3 linked regions of the Xenopus tropicalis genome follow. The main gene of each other region encodes a partner of the protein of the gene in region 2 in a complex. Links are inferred from orthologs where the notes say so. Each region holds a gene or a part of one and is shown on either strand. Other genes may lie near its edges.

Evidence for each region.
Region 1: tfdp2 (region 2) and e2f4 share a complex: the UniProt entries of both Homo sapiens proteins name them as parts of the DRTF1/E2F transcription factor complex. The link is inferred for Xenopus tropicalis from reciprocal best matches to the Homo sapiens genes TFDP2 and E2F4.
Region 3: tfdp2 (region 2) and mybl2 share a complex: the UniProt entries of both Homo sapiens proteins name them as parts of the DREAM complex. The link is inferred for Xenopus tropicalis from reciprocal best matches to the Homo sapiens genes TFDP2 and MYBL2.

What each region holds. Positions count from the first base shown.
Region 1 is NC_030680.2:76,530,445-76,539,056, forward strand, and holds the start of e2f4 (transcription factor E2F4), read right to left. Parts: upstream 4,357-8,612; 5' UTR 4,305-4,356; coding exon 4,182-4,304; intron 1-4,181. UniProt on the Homo sapiens protein: Transcription activator that binds DNA cooperatively with DP proteins through the E2 recognition site, 5'-TTTC[CG]CGC-3' found in the promoter region of a number of genes whose products are involved in cell cycle regulation or in DNA replication.
Region 2 is NC_030681.2:129,527,988-129,535,838, reverse strand, and holds part of tfdp2 (transcription factor Dp-2), read left to right. Parts: intron 1-2,664; coding exon 2,665-2,816; intron 2,817-2,947; coding exon 2,948-3,114; intron 3,115-6,883; coding exon 6,884-6,983; intron 6,984-7,290; coding exon 7,291-7,450; 3' UTR 7,451-7,851. UniProt on the Homo sapiens protein: Can stimulate E2F-dependent transcription.
Region 3 is NC_030686.2:39,921,484-39,930,047, reverse strand, and holds the start of mybl2 (myb-related protein B), read right to left. Parts: upstream 4,357-8,564; 5' UTR 4,216-4,356; coding exon 4,196-4,215; intron 2,021-4,195; coding exon 1,927-2,020; intron 1,637-1,926; coding exon 1,565-1,636; intron 759-1,564; coding exon 666-758; intron 509-665; coding exon 288-508; intron 1-287. Other genes in the region: uncharacterized protein LOC733539, read left to right, coding at 6,684-7,490. UniProt on the Homo sapiens protein: Transcription factor involved in the regulation of cell survival, proliferation, and differentiation. Transactivates the expression of the CLU gene.

The DNA.
Region 1 (8,612 bases), on a different chromosome or scaffold from region 2:
ATATTATTACCAGTCATAAGTAGTGTAACGTATCCTCAGTAAAATATCTACACCAAATATAGGTTGATGGTTAGAAGTAACAGTATTGTTCAAAACACCTATATAGATTAAAGGACATGTAAAGCCTACATTTACCTACAATGTATATCAGTTGGGCATGTCTCCCCCACCCAAATGGCATCATTTGTACTGCATATATATCCCCTCTGTCTTCAAGCACCATTACATTTTCCTAAAGCAAATAGCAGCTTTACCCGGTGGCCATTTTTCCTCTGATACATAATCAGATACATTTAAATCGACAAACAGCATACACACACACACACAGACCCTTATTCAGCATACATTTCATAAAGAATGCAGGCTCACACAGGCAGAACGGTCTATGATAAAAGTTCTGCTTTGTTTGAGCTGAGCTCAGGAGAGGAGGTTAGGAGAAAAAAACTGAAGCAGACAGCTAGAGCTGAGTTTCTATGGGAACCAGCAATGCCATCTCTTTACTGGCTGTTAGACTGGAGGATGTGTTTAGTAATCTGAGCTTAGAACTGAGCATGCCCAGGAGCCAACAGCGAAAGCAAATTCCCTATGGAGGGGAGCGAGTGGGTTACAGGAGGAGAAGGAAATCTAAGTGATTAAGGAGATGTTGCAGCCTTACTATTAACCTCTGGACAACGAGAGTGGCAGGTATTGAAAGAATTCAAAGAGGCTGTTCACTGATTAAAATTTGTGTGTGTGGGGTCTACATATCCTTTAAGTGATGGATTAAGTGGTGGTTAAAGGAACAGTAACACCAACAAATTAAAGTGTATAAAATATACTGCTGCCCTGCACTGGTACAACTGGTGTGTTTGGCTCAGAAATTTATATAAACAAAGCTGCTGTTTAGCAAGGGGGCAGCCATTCAAAGGAGAAAAGGCACAGGCACATAGGAGATAACAGATAAACGCTATTGTATTCTAGAGAGGTGATCCGTTATCTGCTTTGTAACCTGTGCCTTTTCTCCTTTTTTCCAACTTTAATGGCTGCCCCCATGGCTACACAGCAGCTTATTATATAAACTATAGTAGTATTACTGTAGCAAACACACAGCTTTTACCAGTGCAGGGCAACAGTACATTATATTTTAATTACTTTAAAAAACTCATTTTTTGGTGTTACTGTTCCTTTAAGTGCACATTCCTAAGAGAGGGGGTGAGTTCTTAGCATTCTTAAGGAAGGGGGGGGGGGGGGCAGGGGAGAGGAGAGAGCCGAGTGTCTCTGGCAGAGGAAGACAGACAACAAATCTTTTGACAGAGAACTCTTTTTGCAGCATTTCTGTGAGTGTTTATGGCTGTATTTACATAGATCTTTCTGATAAAGCTTACTTAGTTTTTGCCTTTCTTTATCCTTTAAGGTCAACCCCAAAAATAATTGTTTGCCTAATAAAAGAAAACATAATACCAAGCAACTTTCCAAAGTGAATTTATTGAAAATTTTGAGTGCTTTAAAAGTTATTTGTAAATGTAATTGCTATTGAAAGCAGCATTTGATGAACTCCTAGTTGTTACTTTTTAAACAATGTTGCAAAAGTCAGTCTCCTCCAGCAAGGCAGGTCTGTCAATCTGTTGGTTTGTGTTACATTGTTTCAAGAGTCAGAGCCACCAGGGCAGATAATACAAAAGGACAAACAAACACTGCTTTTAATAGTAATTATATATACACAAATAAGTCAAAAACATTACAAATTTGTAATGAATGAATATTGCAAAGTTAGAATTAGAATTATGTTTTCTTTTGTTAGGCAAAAAAATATATTTTGGGCTGACTTGTCCTTTAAAACAGAAAATGTAGGAGTCAGGAAACATATTTTCTCCATGTTCACATTTAAAGTAAAAGTTGCTTCTACAATTGTAGAAATTGAAGATCTAATGCAAGTCCTCAGAGAAATATATTAAGAAATTCTGCCACAATAAGAAATTAAAGTATCAATTTGCTCTAATACAGACACAACTGGCATTCTCAGCAAATATTGTGTACAGTTAATTTTCAAAACTACTAACACATAAGTATAAGCTTGTCGCATTGGGATAAAGAGCTTTAACTACATACAAAGACGTAATGCAAAAATAATCAGGTAGAGCAAAATTAATCAACAGTTCTAGTTGGCCCTAACTTATCAAATTTAAAAGCATTACACTTTCAAGGGGAACTCTGGCTACCAACCATACACAACACAGAAATCCCTAATATACCTATTACTGTAGTAATAAATACTATTTTTATAAGCTGAAATCCAGCTCCAAAACAGTTCTTCCCTGTTCGCATCTTAAATGGCAGGAGAGGAGGGACTAAAACACTGATGTTACAAATTGTTACAACTTCTCCACAGCTTACAGACAGAATGAAGAAACTATATAACCCCTAATGCATCGCATAGTGATGTTCCTTTCCTTACTGATATCATGTGTACAGGGAATTGTGGGATTTTGATGATGCAGGCTGAAGGCAGGCTGAGGACAGTCGACTACTGTTTCAGTTTTTTTTTTTCAAAGTAGTCGGCCAGATCAGCAGGAGAACATGTTCCAAATCATATTGTTACATAAAAAAAAAATCATTAAAAGCTGCATATTTTTAACTGATGCATATTGCAAAGTTACTTAAAATTATTTTTACTTTTAAAAATGGTTATGTTGTGTTTGAGTGGAGCTCCCCTTTAAATAATTACACATATGTACATTAGCAAGCAAGACATGCTAGCATATATGCTACACATAAATTAAATCCAGCTCTAAGCAACTTTCAGATAAACACATTTTAAATATTAAAAGTTACTGAAAGCAGTATCTGGCTGTATAGAGGTCTCTGCACTAGTGGCTCTGACACTTGAATTAATATAGAAGAAACTAGTCATAAATACTGTTTTCAATCACAATTACATTTACACATAACTTAAAAACCACTGAACCGTTGCAATTAATGCATATTGGAAAGTACCGTAGAAATGAATTTTCTCTAATTCTGCAGAAACCAGTTTGGACAAAAATGACTTTACTGCTACACCAAACAGCATGTATTAATGTTAGGTAGACAGGAAGTGCTTCTGTTAAGGTCTTGCTTTCCTTAACATGACTCATCAATTGCTTGTGTCTTGTAAAAGTAACATGACAGGGTGAAATGGACTACAAACAGAAACATATCTAAAGATACACTATACCACAATGGATATGCTGTTTAGGTATGCTCACACAATCATGGCAACAGCTCAGATAGTGGTCGGTACTGGGAAATGTAGTTTTACAAGGGAAGGGGGGGGGGGGCATACATTTGTCTTTTCCTGTTACTAAATGGGTGTAATCACTTGGCATTATAGTGGTTCTACAAACCAACAAGCAGTTTTTGCACAGTAAAAGAAAATGTAATAAAGCAACTTTCTAATGTACATAAGTTCCAAGGTTTAATTGTTTTAAAAAAAAGTTTTGTAATTAGGTATTAGTGTAATTGTAGTAAAAAGTTTATTCCTTTCTGTTCTCTAGGTCTGACTTAATGCAATAGGAGTCAGGTCTCCATTGTATCGACCAGCTTTTATCAGTTGACTTGCAACATTGTCAGAGGAATAAAGAGACAAAAGTGCAGAGAATGTAAACAGAGGTACTGCGGTCAATAGCAGTTACATAACAAATGCGTTTTAAATAGTTTATGATTGGACATTTGCTTAAAAGTAGGTTTCTTTCCTTAAGCAAAAATAGTTTTTGGGGTCGAGGAACCCTCTGTACAAAACCAGCAATAGACACTGTGCATCTATAACAGCTTAGAAAGTAGGCTACCACACTGTTGCAATGCAGGCATGTGCAGGAGATACATTATCGTACGATGAAAACCGCAAATTGACTGATCTTCAGAAGGGCAAGCCCTCAGTTATCAAGCACTGACACTCTGCAAGTTCTACACATATCGTGCACGTAACCTAGCAAAACCCTCACTGAACAATTCACCCAATATGTCTCAGCTACAGGCATACTGGTATAGAATCCATATGCAAACATAGCAGCCCATTTATATGGTATAAACGTGCGAAACATCGACACATTTACAAACAAACACGAGAGATCCAGATATCTCAATATAATTAATAGAGTGCACATGTGGACGTGCATATACATTTAATTATGTGTTTATAAGAAACCTAGAGCTCATGTATATACCGCCTTGAGGTCCAAAACCCCGTCCTCTGCCTCTTGCAAAAGAGAAACGAACTTGCTGGTGAGTAGCCCAAGGCTTTTTTCGTGCCGGCTTGGTGTGACCGGGAGATGAGCGGGATCCGCCATGATGGAACAGCGAGCCTGTGGGCGGAGCCTCCGGTCACCTGCTCAAACTGCTGTTGAGCGGCCGTTGCTTCGCAAAGCATGCCGGGAAGAGGCTGTACCAGTGTAGAGGGAGCGTGTCTGGAGTGTTCAGAACAAGCGCAGAAGGCCTGAGAGAATGTTGCGGTTAGTCGACAGGGATGCACACAAGATGCAGAAAATATGTTTTTAAATGCATTTTAGAGCCGGGGACACCAGAAATTAAGGTAACTAGCGGAAGCAGAGTAGGCAATCAGAAAAGCTTCTTGGTAAAGGAGAAGGAATGCGAACATCGATGATAATATTTAAATAAAGTATAAAATGCTAGTTAAAAAGCGTCGTTTTGCTCTTAACTTATTTTGGATTGGTAAAAATGTAAGAACATTGGAGTTCTCATTTGTCATTCTTCTGTCATTCCTCATTCTTTGGGGTTATGGGCTCTGGCACACCAGGAGATTTGTCGCCGGCGATTTTTAAAAGAGAGATTTGGCGACAAGACGCCAATGCTAAACCAATGGAAATCACCAGCGTCAAAACATATGAGGCTACTTCAAGTCACCTGCTGTTTCAAATCGCACACAGACCCTTTTCTGAATGACTTGAGTAAACATGTGGGAGGGGTAACTGTTGAGTGGTACCATGGGTAGCAGATCGCCTGGAGCTCAACTCGCATGAAATCTCTTCGTGTGTATTGTCTTTGCAACTTGTCGCCAAAGCGCGGGGGGAAAAAACGCAGGCGACAAATCTCCTCGTGTGCCAGACACACTGAGCTACTAGTAGCAGCTACTTTTTCATTTGGGTTTTTCATTTGACTCGCGAGTCTTTTTCGGCGATTTTGGGAAATCGCGCTGCCGCGTGTGCCATCCCGCCGGCGACTTACATGTTCGCCGGCGGGATGGCGGGTCAGGGCAACTCGGGGAGATTAGTCGCCCGCGAACAGGGAGTTTTGTCGCGGGCGACTAATCTCCCCCGTGTGCCAGAGCCCTTAGCAGAGGCAATTCTCAGTATTGTCTATGGCAGGGTATTTTCTGGTGTTTAGTAGCCGCTACTAAGTAGCTCTGTGTGTCTTCACCTTTATGGTTGCCTATTAGGGATGGGCGAAAAAATTTGCAGCGCAGTCAAAATTTTACAGTAAAAAAAATAGTAAAATTTTCCGTACGTCACTTCCTTTCACACGGGTGTCACTTTCTATGACGCGGTCATCTGCTTTTGACGCATGCGTGTGTAAATGCAACTCATTAGAGTAATGGAAAACTGGGAGAGATTAGTCACCTGTGATAAATCTTTACTATTGCGGGCGACTAATCTCCCCAAAATTCCATGTCACAGGCAAGAATGTAAATCTCTAGTGGGATGGCATACACGTCACTTTGATTTCCCGAAGTTGCCTTTGAAAGACTTTTCAGATGAGTGGAGACTTGAAAGCAGCAAATGGAAGAACAACTGCATAATAATAACCAAGAGTTTTAGAAATGTATTGAACAACAAATGGGATCTGGCAAACCAAGCTGGGTGGACTAACCAGGATTCAATCATTCTTTACTTCAGATCACTCATGTTTATCTATAATGAACATATAATCATTACTGTTCACAATTTATTACCATTAGAAGTAAATGTTAAAATCTGTCTTAAGTCTGAGGGGACAGAAGCTGCATTTCTTGAATATAAACACTATAGCAAGTGTTGTAAAACAGCAATCCAGAAGGCAAAGATAGAAAATGAGGAGCGCATGCGGGATGAGAGTGTGGTCCCATTGACTTATAGTAACAATAAGGTTAAAACAGAACTCTATTGCAGTGTTTTTCAACCTTTTTTGGGCAAAGGCACACTTGTTTCATGAAAAAAATCACGAGGCACACCACCATTAGAAAATGTTAAAAAATGTAACTCTGTGCCCAGCAGCAGTGCCCCCCTAGTACACTGGTGCCCAGCAGCAGTGCCCCCCTAGTACATTGGTGCCAAGAGCAGTGCCCCCCTAGTACATTGGTGCCCAGCAGCAGTGCCCCCCAGTACATTGGTGCCAAGAGCCAGCCCCCCTAGTACATTGGTGCCCAGTAGCAGTGCCCCCATAAGTCAGTGTGCCCCGTGGCCCCCCCTAATACATTGGTGCCCAGCAGCATTTTACTTCTGCTCTTCGGCGGCCTCAGCAGCATCTTCCCCTCACGCGCGCCGCCTCTGCACTTCTGCCTACACGCGACCGCACACAGGCCCTTTTATAACGTTGCGCTCCGTGCGTACTGACGTCACCCGTACACACGGGGCGCAACCAATGACAGGGCCCGGATTTTATTAAAGGGGAAAGTAAAAATTGCGGCCCTGCCTACGGCACACCAGGCAACATCTCGCGGCACACTAGTGTGCCGCGGAACAGCGGTTGAAAAACGCTGCTCTATTGTATATACTTTTCTTCAGTATATACAATAGAGCGGCCAGAGTGCCAAGACCCACCCAATAATTTCAGTGTTGCCTGAGCTCAATCTAGTCAGTGGTTAACACAGGATATGGTACATAAAGGGTTACTCAAAATTAATGTGAACAAGGCACCAGGGCCAGATGGAATACACCCTTGGGTTCTGAGAGAGCTAGGTTCAGTTTTATAATGGCCTCTGTTTCTGATATTCTCAGACTTGCTGTCATCTGGTATGGTACCTATGGATTGGAGGAAAGCTGATACCTAAATTTAAAAAGGGATTGCAACCTCAGCCTGGCAATTATAGGCCAGTAAGTTTGACATCCCTGGCAAAATTATGTTCTGGAAAGCATGGCTTTATGAAGGACAGGTTATGTTAGACCAATTTGATTGCTTTTTATGATGAGGTTTGGATTTTGCCAAAACATTTGATTCCGTGCCACACAAACGACTGCTTTCTAAACTAAGGTCCGTTGGTCTTAGTGAAGTTGCTTGCACATGGCTACAGGATTGGGGACAGAGGGTGGTTGTTAATGGTCCATTCTCTACTTGGAGTAAGGTTCTTAGTGGGGTCCCTCAGGGTTCTGTACTGGGTCCAATATTTGTTTAACTTGTTCATTAATTGGTGTTATAAGTAATGTATCAGTGTTTGCAAATGACACATAACTCTGCAGCCCAATCAATTCTATTCGGGATGTGCAACAGGATCTTGACAAACTAGCAACCTGGGCAACTAAGTGGCAGATGAGATTTAAACTCGGTAGATGTAAGGTCATCACTGGTCAAGTTTGAGTTGTTTACATTGGAGAAGTGATGCTTAAAGGATAAGCGTGTAGGTAAAGCCTACATTTTCCTACAATGTATATCAGTTGGACATGTCTCCCCCACCAAAATGGCATAATTTGTGCTACATATATCCCCTCTGTTTGCCAACACCATCTTGTTTTCCTAAAACTAATAGCAGCTTTCACCTGGTGGCCATTTTTCCTCTGACACATCATCAGTTACATTAAAATCTGCAAACAGCATATGTGCACAAAGCTTATTCAGCATAAATTTAATCAAGAATGCAGACTCACATAGGCTTAAGGCACATATGCCGCAGTCTTACTATTAAACTCTGGACAGCAAGAATGTCAGGTATTGAAAAATTTTAAAGAGGCTGTTCACTTATGTTCACATTACATTTTTGTGTTTAAAGGATTTTTTACTGTGAGAGCTGTAAAGCTGTGGAATATTCTCTCCCTGAACCAGTTGTACTGGCTGATGCATTAGATAGCTTCAAGAAGGGGTTTGGATGACTTTTTAGCAATTGAGGGAATACAGGGTTACGGGAGATCCAAGTTGATCCAGGGACTGGTCGGATTGCCATCTTGGAGTCAGGAAGAATTTTTTCCAAATTAGAGAGGCTTCAGGTGTTTTTTTTTTTGCCTTCCTCTGGATCAACTAGCAGTTGAGGCCCCATACTACCATGTTATTAGGGCCCTCCCCCCCAGGGGGCCCCCATTTTTATTTCACCATTCAACTGGGCACCCTGACAAGTAGAATGAGGCTTAAATCAATGCCCCAGGCACACATGGTGAAACCCCTGATTCGGCCTGACCATGCCAACCACATTGTCCCCGAACTCTGCTCCCTATTCCACAAGCCCAATGACTGATTGTTATCCGGTAATTTAATAGTTTTGCTAAAGTTTGCCATTTTTTCCCTATCTTTGAAATCACGAGAAGTCTCGCATTTTAAATCACCTTACCTCCCAAATCATATGGTACTATAAGATAAAACATCCTAAATATGAATGATATTGGTCTTCTTAAAAGTGTGATGCCTTGTATGCATAGCATTACCAGAACAAGCAGCATAGGGAGACTCATTTATAT
Region 2 (7,851 bases):
TTAGCAAGGCTGTACCCACAAACATCTGCTATATGTAACAAATGTGCAATCCTAATATTTAAGCCAGGCTCACTGTAGGCACTTATGTTTTTCTTTCTACTCTCCTTCTTTCTCTATATTGTTGTTAAAATGTTAAATCTTTAAATAAGTTTCTGGTAGACCGCAAGATGGGATGAAGCGGGATACCAACAAATTCCAGAGCCTGTTGGGTACAGGAAGTCTGCAGCAAGTTTATATGTAATTCTCATCATCCTAACCATTTTAAACAAAAGTAATAACTCATTAATAGTTTATCATTATTAATGAGGATTAGGTTGGTGGTATTTCCCTGCGTATCCCAGTGTCACTTTAACCTCCTGAAAAGCATCCCTACCATGAGTCAATCTATAAAGCATAAACTCGTTTATTCTTTCTGAGCAATCCTCTCCTGTGCATGGGGTCTGTAAACATTCCTATGTTCTGTTTCTTATTTCCATGCTTAGCACAAAGATCCTCTCATTATCTCAAACATTTCAACACTGGGCCTCCTGTGTGTGGTTTGCTTGCCCATAGTTTAAACGTAGATCATGTGAACAGGCGGTCACAGGGCCACCACTACAGACAATGAATGCTGGAATTTGTAAGGGTGAAGAGAGTGAGCTCCTGGACAATGGGATGCTTTGTTTCATCAATCAGATATAAAGCAGAAATCTAGCTGTGGCGCATATGCCTGGTCCTTGGTAAGCGGCAGCAGCTCCCAGAGGCTCAAGGTTAAGTGAAAAATATACTGAAATATCTGCCATTCCCCATCCACTTCCTTGTAACAGTTTCACAAACTCCCTGAAAGTAAAGGTTGGATGGCTGTTTAGCAAATGAGGGAATACAGGGTTATGGGCAATAGCTTTATTACAAGTTGATACAGGGACAGGTTTGATTGCCATCTTGGAATCAGGAAGGAATTTTTTCCCCTCTGCGTCAAGTTAGAGAGGCTTCAGGTGGGGGGTTTTGCCTGCCTCTGGATCAACTAGCAGTTAAGCAGGTTACCGTATATATAGGCATGAAGGTTGAACTTGATGAACGTGTGTCTTTTTTCAACCTAACTAACTATGTAGATAATGGTGCTTTGGCATTCCCTCACCAGTACGCTTGCCCTGTGGTGTTTACCAGCCAATATATCAGCTGACACTTAGCCATCAAAGCTGCAACCGCAAGCAAATCCAGAAAATGATCATTTGGAGGCTTTATTCTGGCATTCTTCTGCCTGGCCCCTGCCTAAGGCCTCTTCTTCCCTTAGTGGTATCTACAATGGGATGTCATTGAGAAGAGACTCATTGATCTTGCTGTATCCCTTTCATTACTCCTGCTTAGTTAAATTACTTTGAATGAATTTTAGGTTTCAGACATGGGGGGGTGGGGGGGAGAGTAGATAAAATTACAAGGGCCAGGAAATAATTTTCTCATGGCACATGGAGGAATCCCTTGTATTACTGAATCTCTGCTCCTCACTTTCAAGTACAGATACAGTTGTTTTCAGATTTATGGATGTGGCCTTCTGTCTTTGGCTTTTAAACTTCTCTTTTGCATTGGAAGGTTTTATAATCTGCATGATTATTCTGGATACCAATGTTGCTTCACTTAACTTTTCCTATAGGGCAGTCTACGGCCTAAAAGTGGCCGTACATGGGCAGATTAACGATGCTGATTTGGCAGCCTATCTGCATGTGAATGGGGACCCCCGACAGGCCTTCCTGATTGGTATCTGGCCGAAAATCGACTAAAGGTGGCCATACACGTGGCGATCCGACGATGTTTCGTACGACCATCGGTCGCACGAAACATCGTAAGATCCGCCACACACCATTCAGGGCTGAATCGGCAGGTAAGGAGGTAGAAACAATAGGATTTCTACCTCCTTCTGCCGATTCAGCTCTGAAGGGAGAATTTTGGTCAGGCGCCTTCTATGGCGCCCGATCAAAATTTTCAAACTTGTCCGATCGGCGAGTCGTCCGATATCGGCAGCTTCCTGCGATATCGGTCGACTCGCCGACATGCCATACACGCACCGATTATCGTACGAAACGAGGTTTCGTACGATAATATCGGTGCGTGTATGGCCACCTTAAGTGTCGAGCGGCTGGTTTAAATTTTTTTTTTAATAGGATTAGCTCTGGGGACCACATTGGCTGATTGATCTTACCAAACGAGCAAATCTTATAATGTATGGCCACCTTTAAAGGGGACCTGCTACCCTAAGAAATAATCCTAAATGTATTTCTATCATGTTAATTGAGCAAAATAAACCAATATCTAGAAGTGATAAATCTGGCTTTCCAAGCAGCTTCTTCAGGCTCAGCAGATAGTGTGCACACACTTCATTTTATTTACAACTGCTTGGTTGTCTGGGAGGGGGGTTGCCAGTGTTTAGGCAACCCCAGGGATAGTAAACATTAACCTGCGACCCCAGGCTGGCTTTCCCCTTTGCTGAAAAACTAAGTGACCTGTGGTACTGTTCTGTTTAGTGCTGCCATCTTGTCTCTTGTCCCAGGGAGCGCATGATAGAATAAGACTGTAAATTAGAGAGTAAATTGCAAACATTTACTCTACTCTGCACCCTGCTGGTGATTACTGAGCAGGACAATGCATTACTATTGTGCTTGCTAATTTTTTTTTTTCCCCCCCTCCCAGCAAATTGCCTTTAAGCACCTTGTTCAGAGGAATAAACAGAACGAGCAGCAAAGCCGTTGCCTCCCTGCTGGAAATTCCACCATAAAATTACCCTTTATCATTGTGAACACCAGCAAAAGGACTGTCATTGACTGCAGCATATCCAGTGACAAGTGAGTGGCACAGTGGGACATTAAGGCCTGGACCTTCCCATTACAGAAAACTTAAAATAGTAGGAGAAATCCTGACAGTAGGATATGAGCCAGTGATGGTAGATAACCTTTATTCTACATCTCTCCTGCAGGTTTGAATACCTTTTTAATTTTGACAATGCCTTTGAAATTCACGATGACATTGAAGTCTTGAAAAGAATGGGAATGTCATTTGGGCTTGAGTCTGGAAAGTGCACATCAGAGAACCTGCGGCTCGCTAAATCCTTTGTGCCCAGAGCCCTGGAAGGATACGTCACAGGTAGTCAGCTAACCAAATACACTCAATCCTTAATAAACAGGTAACCTTCCAGATATGGACTTGATGAAATAGGCCATACCATTTCCGCTAAGGCCCTTACAGGCCTAAATAAGGTTTACAGCAGCCTCTCTGGCATTTCCCAGATTATTCAGATTTTTAATCTGCACAATAATATAATCCTAAATACAGCCTCCAGGGAGTCAGTGACAGATGTTTATGACAAGGGGATTAGTTTACAATTTAACGGCATCAGGCAGGATAAATCTTGGCTGTGTCTAGCTGGACGAGACTTTGGCCAGAGCTGGCCTAAATTTGCCATCACCCTTTCTGGCCACATTGGTCCAGGTTCTTACCTAAAGCCAACTGTTTCATCACTGCAGACATTAACGGATTCATTAATGTTTGAGATTGAGAGAGATGGGATGCGTTGATAACTGCAGGAAAATCCATGGCAGTCATGAAAGGTAAACATGCTGCCTGTGATAAATACTGGCCCTTTATTATGGGGATCACTCAGGAACACAAAGGGAGCATTCCCAATAGATCCTCACCTGTTATAAGTAGCAAATAGAAGAAGCGGCCTGTCATCAGGGAAGGATGGTTTAATTGCCATGGTCTTCCCTCAGCCTTACTAAGGCATACCAAATAACTCAACTGCAGTTTTGCAGCAGTTGGCAGTGAAAACCAAAACTTCCTTATACAAGTTACTTCCCATTGATGTGAGTTGGAAGCTCCTCTGGTCATACTGCTGTGTTTTTGGGTGATAGTTCCCTATGCAGTCTAACCCATGGGCTTCCCATTAATTTTAGAGGGAAGGGAATATTTGATTATTAAATTAAGCTACGGCTCAATGTGTAACAAACACTGATATATTTAGAATAAGAAAGCTGCTTGTCCCAAGCATCCCTTTTAAAGGCACAGTAACACCAAAAAATGAAAGTGTATAAAAGTAATAACAATATAATGTACTGTTGCCCTGCATTGCTACAACTGGTGTGTTTGCCTCAGAAAGACTACAATAGTTTATATAAGTTAGCTGCTGTGTAGCCATGGGGGCAGCCATTCAAAGGAGAAAAGGCACAGGTTACTTAGCAGATAACAGATAAACCCCCATTATAAGGGGCTTATCTACTAGTTATCTGCTATGTAACCTGTGCCTTTTCTCCTTTTTTCCAGCTTGAATGGCTGCCCCCATGGCTACACAGCAGCTTATTTATATAGTAGCTTTTCTGTAGCTAAAACACCAGTTTTTTGCAGAGCAACAGCACATTATATTTTAATTACTTTAAAACAGTTTCATTTTTTGATGTTACTGTTCCTTTAATACACTGCAGACCATTTTAAACTATCATCCAGCCTCTCTTCATAGTATATACTACTGTAGAAGATCGCTGTAGAAGATCACTAAGCCTGTTTGGATGTAAAGAGGACACAATATGGCTATAGTATGAAGAGTTTGGATGTGCCCAATCGCTGTGAATATCAAAACAGACTCACAAAGCTCATTTGAGGATTTGATTGAAGTTTAAACACTGCTAAAAGTAATGTCAAGCACCAGACATGTATTCTTACAACCGTGGGGTCCTGAAATCTGCCTCCACTAAACCAGACTAGCAGTAAAAGTCTGAACATCAGTGTAAGGCAGCCCCGGGACTGGCAATCTTTGGATTCTGGCAAATGCCAGAGGGGCTGCTGTAAGATGCCATAGACAGTCACTATTTATTGGGCTAGCGGGGGGCTGTTTGGGCCTCTGTTTACTTGGGGGCTCTTTGGGACCTGGTGTAAGGCTCAGTTCCTCAGAGATACGGAACCCAGGGTTATTGCACTTCTCTGCCCAGGCCTATAGCTAGCACTGGATGCCTAGTTGGTTAGTAATGCTGCTCTAGAATCAAACTTGGGTAGAGACAGTATTCAGTATATAAGAGCTGAGGAAATGTTTCACGCCTTTTACTGTACGACACTTTGTTGTTTTATGGGCTGCTGGCTGGACAAGTGTGCACAAGGGCAGGTTTTGGGGACACTTGCGCAGAATGCAAAGTAGACGAAAGGCGGGGGAATCTGTGGGCCAAGATATTGTCTGCAAAGCAGGACTGTGCCAGCAGCGGACTCATTGTGCATATAAAACACAGGCCCAGCTATTCATTCCCTCCTTGGTGACACTTCTTGTTACTGAAAGGATTTTCCTGTCGACTGCCAAGAACAGTCTCTCTAAATAGGAGGGAAATCCCATTCAAGTTTCCTGCATATTCTACTATCAAGTTGAAAGCCTCAGTAACTAGTGCCGCGCTGGAAGAAAGGCACTCTGCTCCAGGTTAACCTTCAGTCGCTCTTGTACTGTCCCTAATATTGCAGTTGTATACTTTCGCATTCTGTAGATTTGGACTCCATTTGCTTTGATTTACTAATAACATTGGTTGCAGTTATATGGCTGGGGGCACGCACAGCAGTTTTTAATGGGATAGTGAGCAAAATAACAGGACGTTTTTGTGAACAGAATCCTTCACACAAACCCTGATTCTCTGGGGTAGGGCTTGGCAACCACTGAAAACGTGACAATTATACAACTATAAAGCAGTTTGTCACGAAAGCCAGAGTAGTTAATAAACCAGTGGGACAATAAGTGACCCCGACATGGGAGAGGAGAGTAGTGGATGGAGAGGAAGAGCAGTGAGGAGCAATGGATGGAGAGAGGAGGAGGGCAGTAAGGGGCAGGGAACAAAGAAAGTAGGGCAATGAAGGAAAAGAGAAGGGTTGTTGAAGCAAAAGGGGGCTCAGTGGTCAGGAGTATGAGAAGGATGGCAGTGGGAAACAGTGGGTGGTTTGGGGAGAGTGTAGTTATGGGCAGTAGAAAAAGGCAGGCCCGGACTGGCAGTGCTGTATGATGGGGGGCTGTTTAGGTCTCTGTCCATGCCTAATGAGAGAAGAACAGTGAGAAACATTGAGGAGATAGAAAATGAGGAACAATGGAGGGGAGAGATGAAGGCCAGTGAATATAGATAACAATGAGAGAGTGGATGTAAAGAGAAGGAAAATGAGGAGCCATGTAGAGAGGTGGTCTGTGAAGGACTATTAGACACTGGGTATTTGTGGAAAAAACTTGGGAGACATGAGCATTTTGTTAGGGAGGAAAAGTTACAGAGATACACCTCTTGAGAGATTGGTAAATCTAATATGGCGGGAGGAGGAGTGGAAGAGGCGACACCAGGATAGAGGGCAAGTGAAGCCAGATTAAAAGAAAAGTAACACTAAAATTTTTTAAGTGAAAAAGCTATTCTACCCTGCACCAATAATTGCCCTATCCTGCAAACCCCTTAGTATTTTGAATGCTTTAAAAGAAAATACCTGTTAAAACTTGGCTTCCTGTCAATTGAACGGAGGCGATACCGCGAAGGAAGGAGCAGGCATCAACTATGCGAGGATCGATTGATTGAGCCTAGCCTTCCTTCTGTATAGGAAGGAGTCAGGCTAGACTCGATCGTCACATAGTGGATGCTGCTCCTTCCTTCGCCGTATTGCCTCCGTTCAATTGACAGGAAGCCAAGTTTTAACAGGTATTTTCTTTTAAAGCATTCAAAATACTAAGTGGTTTGCAGGATAGGGCAGTTATTGGTGCAGGGTAGAATAGCTTTTTCACTTAAAACATTTTAGTGTTACTTTTCTTTTAATCTGGCTTCACTTTAGTGTTACTTTTCCTTTAAAACATCAGACATCTTAATTTCTATCCATGATTCCTCTATGTGTGCTAAAGTCTTATTTTCTGTTCCCTTAGAAATGGCTACAGGAAGCTCATGGGCAGATCAGAGTTTTAATTCACAGACTGCTCTTTCTGCAGTGAACCCAGCTGGCATCACCACAAACTCCCAGGCAAGGTACAGTAACTCCCAGTGCTGCTTTTCCACTCAGGTGTATGGCCTTTCTTACATCCATGAATTTGTATTAGGATTAAAGCATTTGTCAAGTCAAATTCACCATTTTTTATTTATGGTCTTGCTTGTCCTTTAATTTTGTTTGACTTCCCCTTTAAACAAATTGTAAGCTATTCGATTAAAGCAAAGACTCACACCCAATGAGTTTATACCAGGTACTATTACTTATTAATGACTTCTTGTTCTTTATTTCCTTTTTCCACTTATTTTGCTTCCATTCCGCCTCTCCCCCCTCCCCTTTCATCTACAGCTTAACTTCGGGCTTGTACTTTGACTCAGAGGTGTCCCTAACCACCAGCAGTCACCATTCCAGCTCAGGAACGTCACACTACACAGAGTCACGAGGGGAGACCCCCTGCTGGTTTGACGACGATGAAGATGATGAAGACGACTCATCCTCCATGGAGTAGGAAAGCAGACAGACGCGATTGTGCGTGTAGGGGTCATTATGCCAATGCTGTCGGATCTTCCATCCCAGCGGGAGGAATAGAATAAAGTGCTGTCCTCGAATTTCTCAACCAATCAGATTTATATTGTAGTGAACAAAAACTCCAAACCCTTCAATCAACAAGATGGTGTCTCTTCAGATTGGATGTCCCCGTATTAATTGTTTATTCTTTTTTTATTTTGTTGAAGAAAGGAAGTTTTTCAGACTTGATTCTTTTGGATCAAAAAAAAGTGACTGTGATTTTTCTTTCCATTATGAAACTGGTCGGTCCCACCAAGGCCTGCATCAGTGAATACACAGAGTCCTGCCAGGGAGGATCCACTGAGAGCTTTACCCATTGCCAGTAACATAGGAGGGTGTCCT
Region 3 (8,564 bases), on a different chromosome or scaffold from region 2:
TTGAATAAAAACAAGGTTTACTACCAAATAAAGCCCCCTGTAAGCTGATGTGTGCATAAAGGCTGCCTAATAGCCAATCACAGCCCTTATTTTGCACCTCCATGAACTTTTGATGCTTGTGTTGCTTCCCAAGTCTTTTTACATTTGACTTGGCTCACGAGTAAGAAAGGTTGGGGATCCCTGCTGTATAAGATGCTATGCATAGTATGGCCACGTTTGCACTGTTTAGACAGCCTGAACAGTTGAAGTAAAGAGGAGTTTAACAGGCAAAGGTGGGTTTCTCTTACCTCCCAGGAAGCAGCTTTGCTATTTCAGCCCAGCGATTTCCCAATACTTTATGGGCTTGGCATATAATTCTGTCCTCTTCCTCTGTCCATGAGGACTTTTTCACTTCTGGATTGAGGTGATTGTGCCATCGTTCGCGGCACTGTTTGCCCATGCGGCCTTTGAGCTGCTTAGCAATCAGGGTCCAGTGTTTGGTGCCATACTTCTTCACTAATTCTATCACCTAGAAAGAATTATCAGAGGTAGACAAAGTTCAACGTAAGCCACAAGGATGTTGAGCTCACAGCATCCCTCCAAAGACTACAAAAGAATTGTAGTTTATCAGGGCTGCCACACCAATAATAATATGTATTCCCCTATTCAGATACCTCACTTCATACCTTCTCATCTTCCTCTTTTGTCCATGGACCCTTAACCAAGTCAGGATGAAGAACACGAAGCCAGCGGTGCTGACATTGTTGTTCAGTACGATTCTGGAGGAAAAACAAAAATGTAAACACCTTACTAAAACATTAAGACTAAGGAACAAAAAGACAGTGCTTATTGTACTAAACCTTTGCTCACACCAAGTAGTGCCATCCGATGTCTAACAGCGCTGAAAGGGCATAAACACCTCTCCATTAAGCCATAAGATTTCTGGGTTCTATTTTCCCTTATGGGGAAAGGCATAACCAGCATATACCCTAATATGGAATTAAGATGTATAAAAGGGGGTAGTAATGGAAATAAATGTTAACAAGAAATAGGGAGTTTTAAGTGTACATAGACTAGCTCGTCATCAGTTCAGAAAGTGTCCCCTGATCAAAACAGCCATAAAACCATTGTAGGCCAAAGGTAACATCTGCCCAGGGCCAGCAAATCAGATATACTTTAACAGCAGAAGACCTACTTTATATGAGGTTTTTATCCTATTGGTGTATGTTGAAGACACCAACTGACATTTCACACATTTTTGCCTAGATGTCAGCCCTAATGCAGTCGTGCACCAAAAGAATCACAAGCTGATGCTGCTTTAATGCCCAGTGCCAGAACCGATGCAGTTCCCATGACTTGCACTTGATTTTTATATGCGCAATTGCTTTAGCTTTGTCATGTTGGGACAAATGCAGTGGCTACAACTCCCAGCGCTGTTACAGTTGTGTAGGGATTCCAGCAAAAAGCTGCATTGCGGATAAAAACCAAATAGGAAAATTGCACTTGCTCACTAAGCTGCGTTTCTATAAGACTTATAAAGCATGGTGAAATGTAAGATTTACACTGAAGGGATGATGGAACTTACAGTAAGGTTACTGGCAATCACCTTCCATTCACTCTGTCCATGCTTCTTCACCAAGGCTTTTAGCGTCTCATCCTAATGAAACAGAACAAAATGGAAACAATAATTAATACCTTACTGGGGGAAACACGGACGGGAGCAATTTTTACGCATGACCTAATACTGGGGAGTGACATCCCTGTACTATTTTATGTAAATAGTATCACCAACATATAAGACCCCCAGAGGATGACAGAGATGTCAGTCACAGTAAGAAGTCCAAAGACCAGCACTGGAGGGACAGAAGGGTTCTCATCCAGCCCTAGGCAAGAGATAAGGACTCTGGATTGTATTGCTCTAGCAATACATCTAATTGCATACTGTACCTCTTCTGGGGTCCACTTCACTTTGACCCTGCTTTCCTTTGGCTCCGGGACATCAGAGTCTGTGTCCTGATATTGCAAATCCTCAAGATCATCTCTGTATGGGTTAAAGAAAAAATTATTATTAGTATTTAGTCAACATGCAACAGTGTCCCAGAAATAAGCACAGGTTCAGCATATGGAAAGAGGCAGCATTACTCAAAGCACCCAGGGAATAGGGTGTCTGTTAATCTAGCAAAACAAGGATTAAAAAAAAAAAAAAAAAAAACCAGGGTGCCATGAGGGTGGCCACTACTCCAAATGCGAAGGTCGAACTTTCCAGCAACCCCTCTCCAGCTTGCTTTTGGAGATATCACATAGGGGCTGGGTCAACTAGAAAGGGGGGTGGGGTGGAATTCAGCTTGGGAAAGCAAAGGATCCTACATGTGGCACATAGCTGGGACAGAACACAAGGTTACAGGCAGAAACATGAACAAAAAAAAAAAAAAAAAAAAAAGAGAAAACTGTGCACTAGGGAAGTCATCCTTGGGTTTTACTTAAGCGTCTGATAAGTGCATTATATTTCTGTAAATGCAGTCAATGTAGGTGGGTTGCAAAGGGGAGAAGTGTGAAGGTGGGGGAGGGAGTTGTAATCAGCATGACATCCTGAGGCACCTTTACACAAAAAGTGTAGTGTTCCTAGATATACAAGAAAGAAATTACTAAGAATCTAAGGAAATATGGCCGACAAAAACTTCTTTCTCTTTAAGAAGGGTTATAAATGAGGAGCAGAGACAGGCAAACAAGCACAGGGAGGCTGCAGAACGTGGCGCTCAGCTGGAATGGAGCACTGAGAGAGCAGGGACAAACCCAGCTGGAGAGTCACAAGTTAACCTCCTGGCGCAATAAGACAAAAGCCAAAACAAAAGGGGTCGTTGGGGGCCAGCTGTGCACAAACATAGCATTACTGAAGGTCTGAGAAGTACTGGGAAATGTGGGAAGCACAGGGAGAGAAATATGGGGTAGTAGGGCAGATATGCATGCCCTGAAGTGTATGGAAAGCCAAAGGAAAACTCTCAGAGGGAGGACAGTGGAAGCTTCATAGGAAAGTGCAAATGGGGGTGGGGGAGAGCGGACAATGGGGCAATGCACGGAAGCCCACTCGGGGTGGACATGGAAAGTCCTTATGGGGAGACAGAACAAGGGAAGTAAAGAGAAGGCTAGAAAGATAATAGACAAAAACAAGGGTTGGCAATACTAGCTGGGGAGAGAGCTGAGGGGGCAACAGTGATGGGCAGCTGGGGAGAGAGGTGAGGGGTGACAGTGATGGGCAGCTGGGGGAGTACAGGGAAGGGCAGACTGGGGAGAGAGCTGGGGGGTAGAGGGAAGGGCAGACTGGGGAGAGAGCTGAGGGGGTAGAGGGAAGGGGAGACCGGGGAAAGAGCTGAGGGGGTACAGGGAAGGGGAGACCGGGGAAAGAGCTGAGGGGGTACAGGGAAGGGGAGACCGGGGAGAGAGCTGGGGGGTAGAGGGAAGGGCAGACTGGGGAGAGAGCTGGGGGGTAGAGGGAAGGGCAGACTGGGGAGAGAGCTGGGGGGTAGAGGGAAGGGCAGACTGGGGAGAGAGCTGGGGGGTAGAGGGAAGGGCAGACTGGGGAGAGAGCTGAGGGGGTAGAGGGAAGGGGAGACTGGGGAGAGAGCTGGGGGGTAGAGGGAAGGGCAGACTGGGGAGAGAGCTGGGGGGTAGAGGGAAGGGGAGACTGGGGAGAGAGCAAAGAGCCCAGCTGTGGAGAGAGAAGCAGTAGAATAGTTTAGCTATAGTTTAGGCATGTGGAACCGACAGAGAAGCCCAACTAGACAGGAAAGTCCAGAATGGGGGAAGTTAGTAAATCCAGAGAAGGCCAATAGGTGAGAGCCCGGCAAGGCCAGGGCAGAGGCAAGGCCAGGGCAGAGGCAAGGCCAGGGCAGAGGCAAGGCCAGGGCAGAGGCAAGGCCAGGGCAGAGGCAAGGCCAGGGCAGAGGCCAGGGCAGGGGCAAGGCCAGGGCAGGTGCCAGGGCAGAGGCAAGGCCAGGGCAGAGGCAAGGCCAGGGCAGAGGCAAGGCCAGGGCAGAGGCAAGGCCAGGGTAAGGGCGATAACACAGGGCAGGGAGGAGGCGCAGAACTGAAAGCGCAAAGCAGACGCCCAGTGACTGGCACCTACTCAAAAGTAGTAAGAAAAGGCCGCCGGGTTCTAAAGTAGTAGCTGTGCCCGTATGTGCAGCCCCACTGCCCCACCCGTTAGTGCCAGGCTCACCCGCGGGCCCGCCGGGACATCCTGCCGCTCCGGACACTTCAGTGCGCAGTCTGTGGCGGTATTGTTATTTCCTATCTCCCGCCAGCTGCGCACGCACCCACAGAACTCCCTTTCCGGGGCGGAACCCACTCCCTGGGCGGGGCCTACAGCCCATACGGAGGCGCTCTAGGTGCCTGTCACTTCTATATGTGGGGAGGGCCATGCGTCCGGTTTTAACCAATGAACAGCAAGCGCACTGATGTCAGCGATTTCCCGGCGACCAATCAAAGCTAGAAATGAGGGACAGCTTCTGGCGCCTATTACGTTTTGTAACAACCCGAGTGACAGAGGATTCTAAAAATTTCCAGACTAGACAGTCATTTCCTCTTAGTTTTGGCGACGGTAGCGTTAAGCCATGCATTTTAAGTGGGGTTTACGCTGACATCACCACCTCAGATTTGCTATGAGTGTATAGGTTTTTGAACATTAAATTTGAACTGCTGCCTGGTTACTAGAATGGGAGTTCCCTAGCAACAAACATAGAAGTATAATAATAATAATGAAATGGAACCTTCACAGTCAGTCTGTTTTTCAGTTACCTAGGTAACCTTGACAACTAAGCAATTGCAGGCTGGAAAAAAAATAGAATGGAAATATAAATAAAACAAAAAAAACCTGAAATGTTTATTAGGTACTTCTACAGGACTGCCATTGGCTGGCTACAAGTGGTATTGCTGAGGGGGGGTGGGGTATGTGCTCAAATATAACCTCTCCTGAACCCAGTCTGAGCAGCATGGCTTAGGAGTGACTGCCCAGTAGTGGAAAGAACCCTCAGTAAAGGCAGAAATTATATCACTTTCCCTTCCACCCTCTGCAACTGGGAACAGGGGGAGCAAAATGGAACTTCTATATGAGAGAGAAGACTGGGGGAAACCATAACTGAGATGGAGGAAGGTTATAAAGTAGACAGTGAAGATAAATGGAGAGGTGTTAGGTTAGGAAGACGTTATGGGGGTACAGCAGGGATGTCTCTATAACAAATACAAATTTAATGTAACAGTTAACATTCCCTTGAAACATGGCTCTCACATTCCTCAGTATCCAGCATCCCTATGAGCTGGTCTGGCCTAACAACTACAAGTGAGGAATGGGATAATTGGATAATGGGTGGGGTCACAAGGCGAGATTGATTGGCTACTTAACCTCCTAAAACACTATATAAAAGGCTACTTGCCTGGAAGCCAGAATAAATCATTTAGAGGAAATCTATCAGGGAAGGTAAGTGGCTGCACAAAGGGAATCAAGTTGGTGGTGTGTCGCGTAATTGTTACTAGGGCTTAGTACAAACCCATATTGTGTTGCTGTGTGAAGGTGCTGGCATGTTTAGTAATTTAACCATTTTGTTGGCCAGGTGATTAACAGAGACATAGATAGGTGCTGAGATGCTTGCCATTCATTTGAATGCCAGTTGGCTGTTGTATGCACAAATGGCTTTGGAAGCTGAGATGTTTTATATGTTTTCCTTTGTCTGTTTTGGGTAAACTTTGTTGTTCTTTGTTTAATATGTTGGAGGCAAAAATACATGTTGGAATATTTGACTTTCATCAAGCAATATGCTGTTTGAGGGGACCAGGACTGGGATACAAAATATGTTCCAAGTACATAGAGACCCAAACAGCCCCCTTATGGCATCTTACAGCAGCCCCACATTTGTCTGGATCTACAAATTACCAGTCTGCGCCTGGACTGGCCTGTGACTTCCCAATAGTAAAACTACTACAACAACATAGACTTACTCACATTCCCTGTTCTGCAACCCTACAACAGGCATCCCTTGCAACATTTCCCATTTAAAGAATAGTAACAACCTGCTACACCTGCAGTGATTTTTCACACTTGGGAGTATTGTGTGTTGTTATCCTAACTGCCCTAAGCCAATTCTAACTAATTGAATGCTGTGGGATAGTTGGCAAAGCCCTACAGGGAGTGCTTATATACAAATCTCTTAATCATATGTCCTTTTTAGAGGTGTATAATAGTGGGATTACTGGAGCCTGGTTCCTTCTGGCTTCCAACTGTTATCCCAGCCTACTATCCGTAATAAATATTACAATAACTCTCCAGACCTAATCTATTAGACTTGGCTTTCCTGCTATTGTTAGTTTGCCCTTGATTGCTACTCATTAGATATAAGAGTGGCTTTACAGAGTGCTATGTCTTTTTAGTATGAATGAACAATTAAGTGAGAGCTTTGGCCATTCGCACATCTGCTATGACCCCACTGAGGTGCCAAGATAAATGATAGATCGTAGGACAGTCTCTTAATGCCCTCAGGGTTGTGGCTTGTGCCCAAATGGATACCTGCTGTACCAAATATGTTCATGTGTGCTCCCCTATCATAAGTTACTTAAGCATGGGTTTCCTCTAATTCTTGGTTTCAAAAATAAAATATGGTATCTAATATCCTACTGCTTTTTCTTAATTGATAGGTTTGAGAGAAGCCTAAAAGATGTCTATCAGCTGGGACAGCAGTGGTATCAGTTTCCTTATGTCCAGCTCCAACCTCACATTGACCGAGATCATGGACTTGGGATTTGTGGCCACAGCTCAGAGTAGCTCTTCTCCTTGTTCCTCGGGGATTGAACTGTTGGATCAAAGAACCCGTCCCAAGCCCGGTGGGTCACCATTCCTGCTTAAGGTTTCGGAGTCTAGCCCTCTTGTAGGTGGAGAGAAGCAGCGAATGACTGTTGAGGAAATCGTGCCCTGCCTCAGCAGGTCTCCATTCCCACCACCTGACGGTCAGGTGTTTGAACTGTCTGCTTTAGCCCCAGAACCACTAAGTAACTCTATTGTTGGGGTATTCTATGGTGCAAAAGTGTCAACACCCTATAAGGAAGAGGCCACTGATGCAATATGCGTGGACATCCAAGTACCTAAACTGCAAGATTCAGAGATGGTGGTCCAGGCTGTTGGGGTGCAGAAGCCTTCTGTACCACCAATATGGGAGCTCTCTGAGATCAACTCTGCTTTAGAGGAGAACACTCCAACTCTGGATGTTTCTGTCTCTGACTTGAGGTTTACAAGTAGCTCTGACCGAGACCAACCTTCAAATCCACAGGTTCCAGCTTCTCAATGTACCCAGTGGGTTGGGGTCACTCATAAGGATGTGGGGCGCTCCTTTTTACAGCCATTCCGCTACCAGCGCCAGCTTAGTGCCTCTGAAATCCCAGTTACCTCAAATACCCCCTTGCTCCATTCCTTCCATCTGTCTGCCGATGAGGTCGGAGGGGAGTGGCATCTGGAGGTGACCACCTAATCCTTGTTTTGACTCTTAATATCACTTGCTTGTTCTGCAGACAAACCTTGTAAACTTCCAGAATATTTCTGATTGCCACGTGCTGTTCAATACATTACTTCTCATGACTATTTTCTTATCTATCTGTACAGGACTTTGTATGTTATATAAATAAAGAATAATCTATTCAAGCAGTTTTGTTTGCTTTTACTCGGCACTAAGTCCTATTGTTCTGTTTAATTCCTGGGTCTCGGTGCATTACTGCTACACATTAGAGGTACAGCGAGATCCAACCTAAAGTCTGCAAAACACTGCTAAAGGCTAAGTTCACCTTACATGTTTTAATGACCTTGCAGTGCCCATAACTGCTTTTACCTGGGTTTGTTGCTGGTATTTCTCAAGCAACGTTATGGCTAGAAGCTTGTCTATACTTGATCTGTTGGGCTCCTACTTTCTAACCCGCACCTGAAGCCACTGTCGGCCCACATGCAGGCACAGAGTGGAATTAGGCACTGAAATGGGCAAGTATAAACTTCAGTGCTGTAATCCGCTTTGAATCTCTGCCACGTGCCCACAGCACTATGGTATGACTGCCCACAGACATTGTGTTGACCGGGGTGCAGACACAAAAACCACTTTGCTGCTGCACCCAGGCTGATGCAGTGTCTGAGAGCAGATCATAAAGTGGAGCAGCGGGGTGGTTTTTCTTGCCCTGTGTGGCAATCTTATGTAGAAACCTGGATAACAGGTTTCTGCATAATAGATAATGTATCAAGTTTTGGCCAATGGCCACTGCTTAATTTCTTTCCTACCAGTGACTTAAAATGTGATACTTTCCCACTCCTAAAACTGCCAAGTAGCTTGTTATTCAAGGGCACTATATAGAGTAGAAAGCAGTCTGAAATTTAGGCTGATGTCCCTCCCAGAGATTAGTTGCATGTAATAGATCTGCTACCGTTGGTGACTAACGTCTCCTGAATTGCCTTTCCACTAGCAACAAAGGGAATGGCCAGTGGAAAGGCCTATGTATCGCTTTGGTGCCTGCAGAAGGAAACTGCGCAACTTCAGGGAAACAAAGCAGCGATTGCCTTGTTG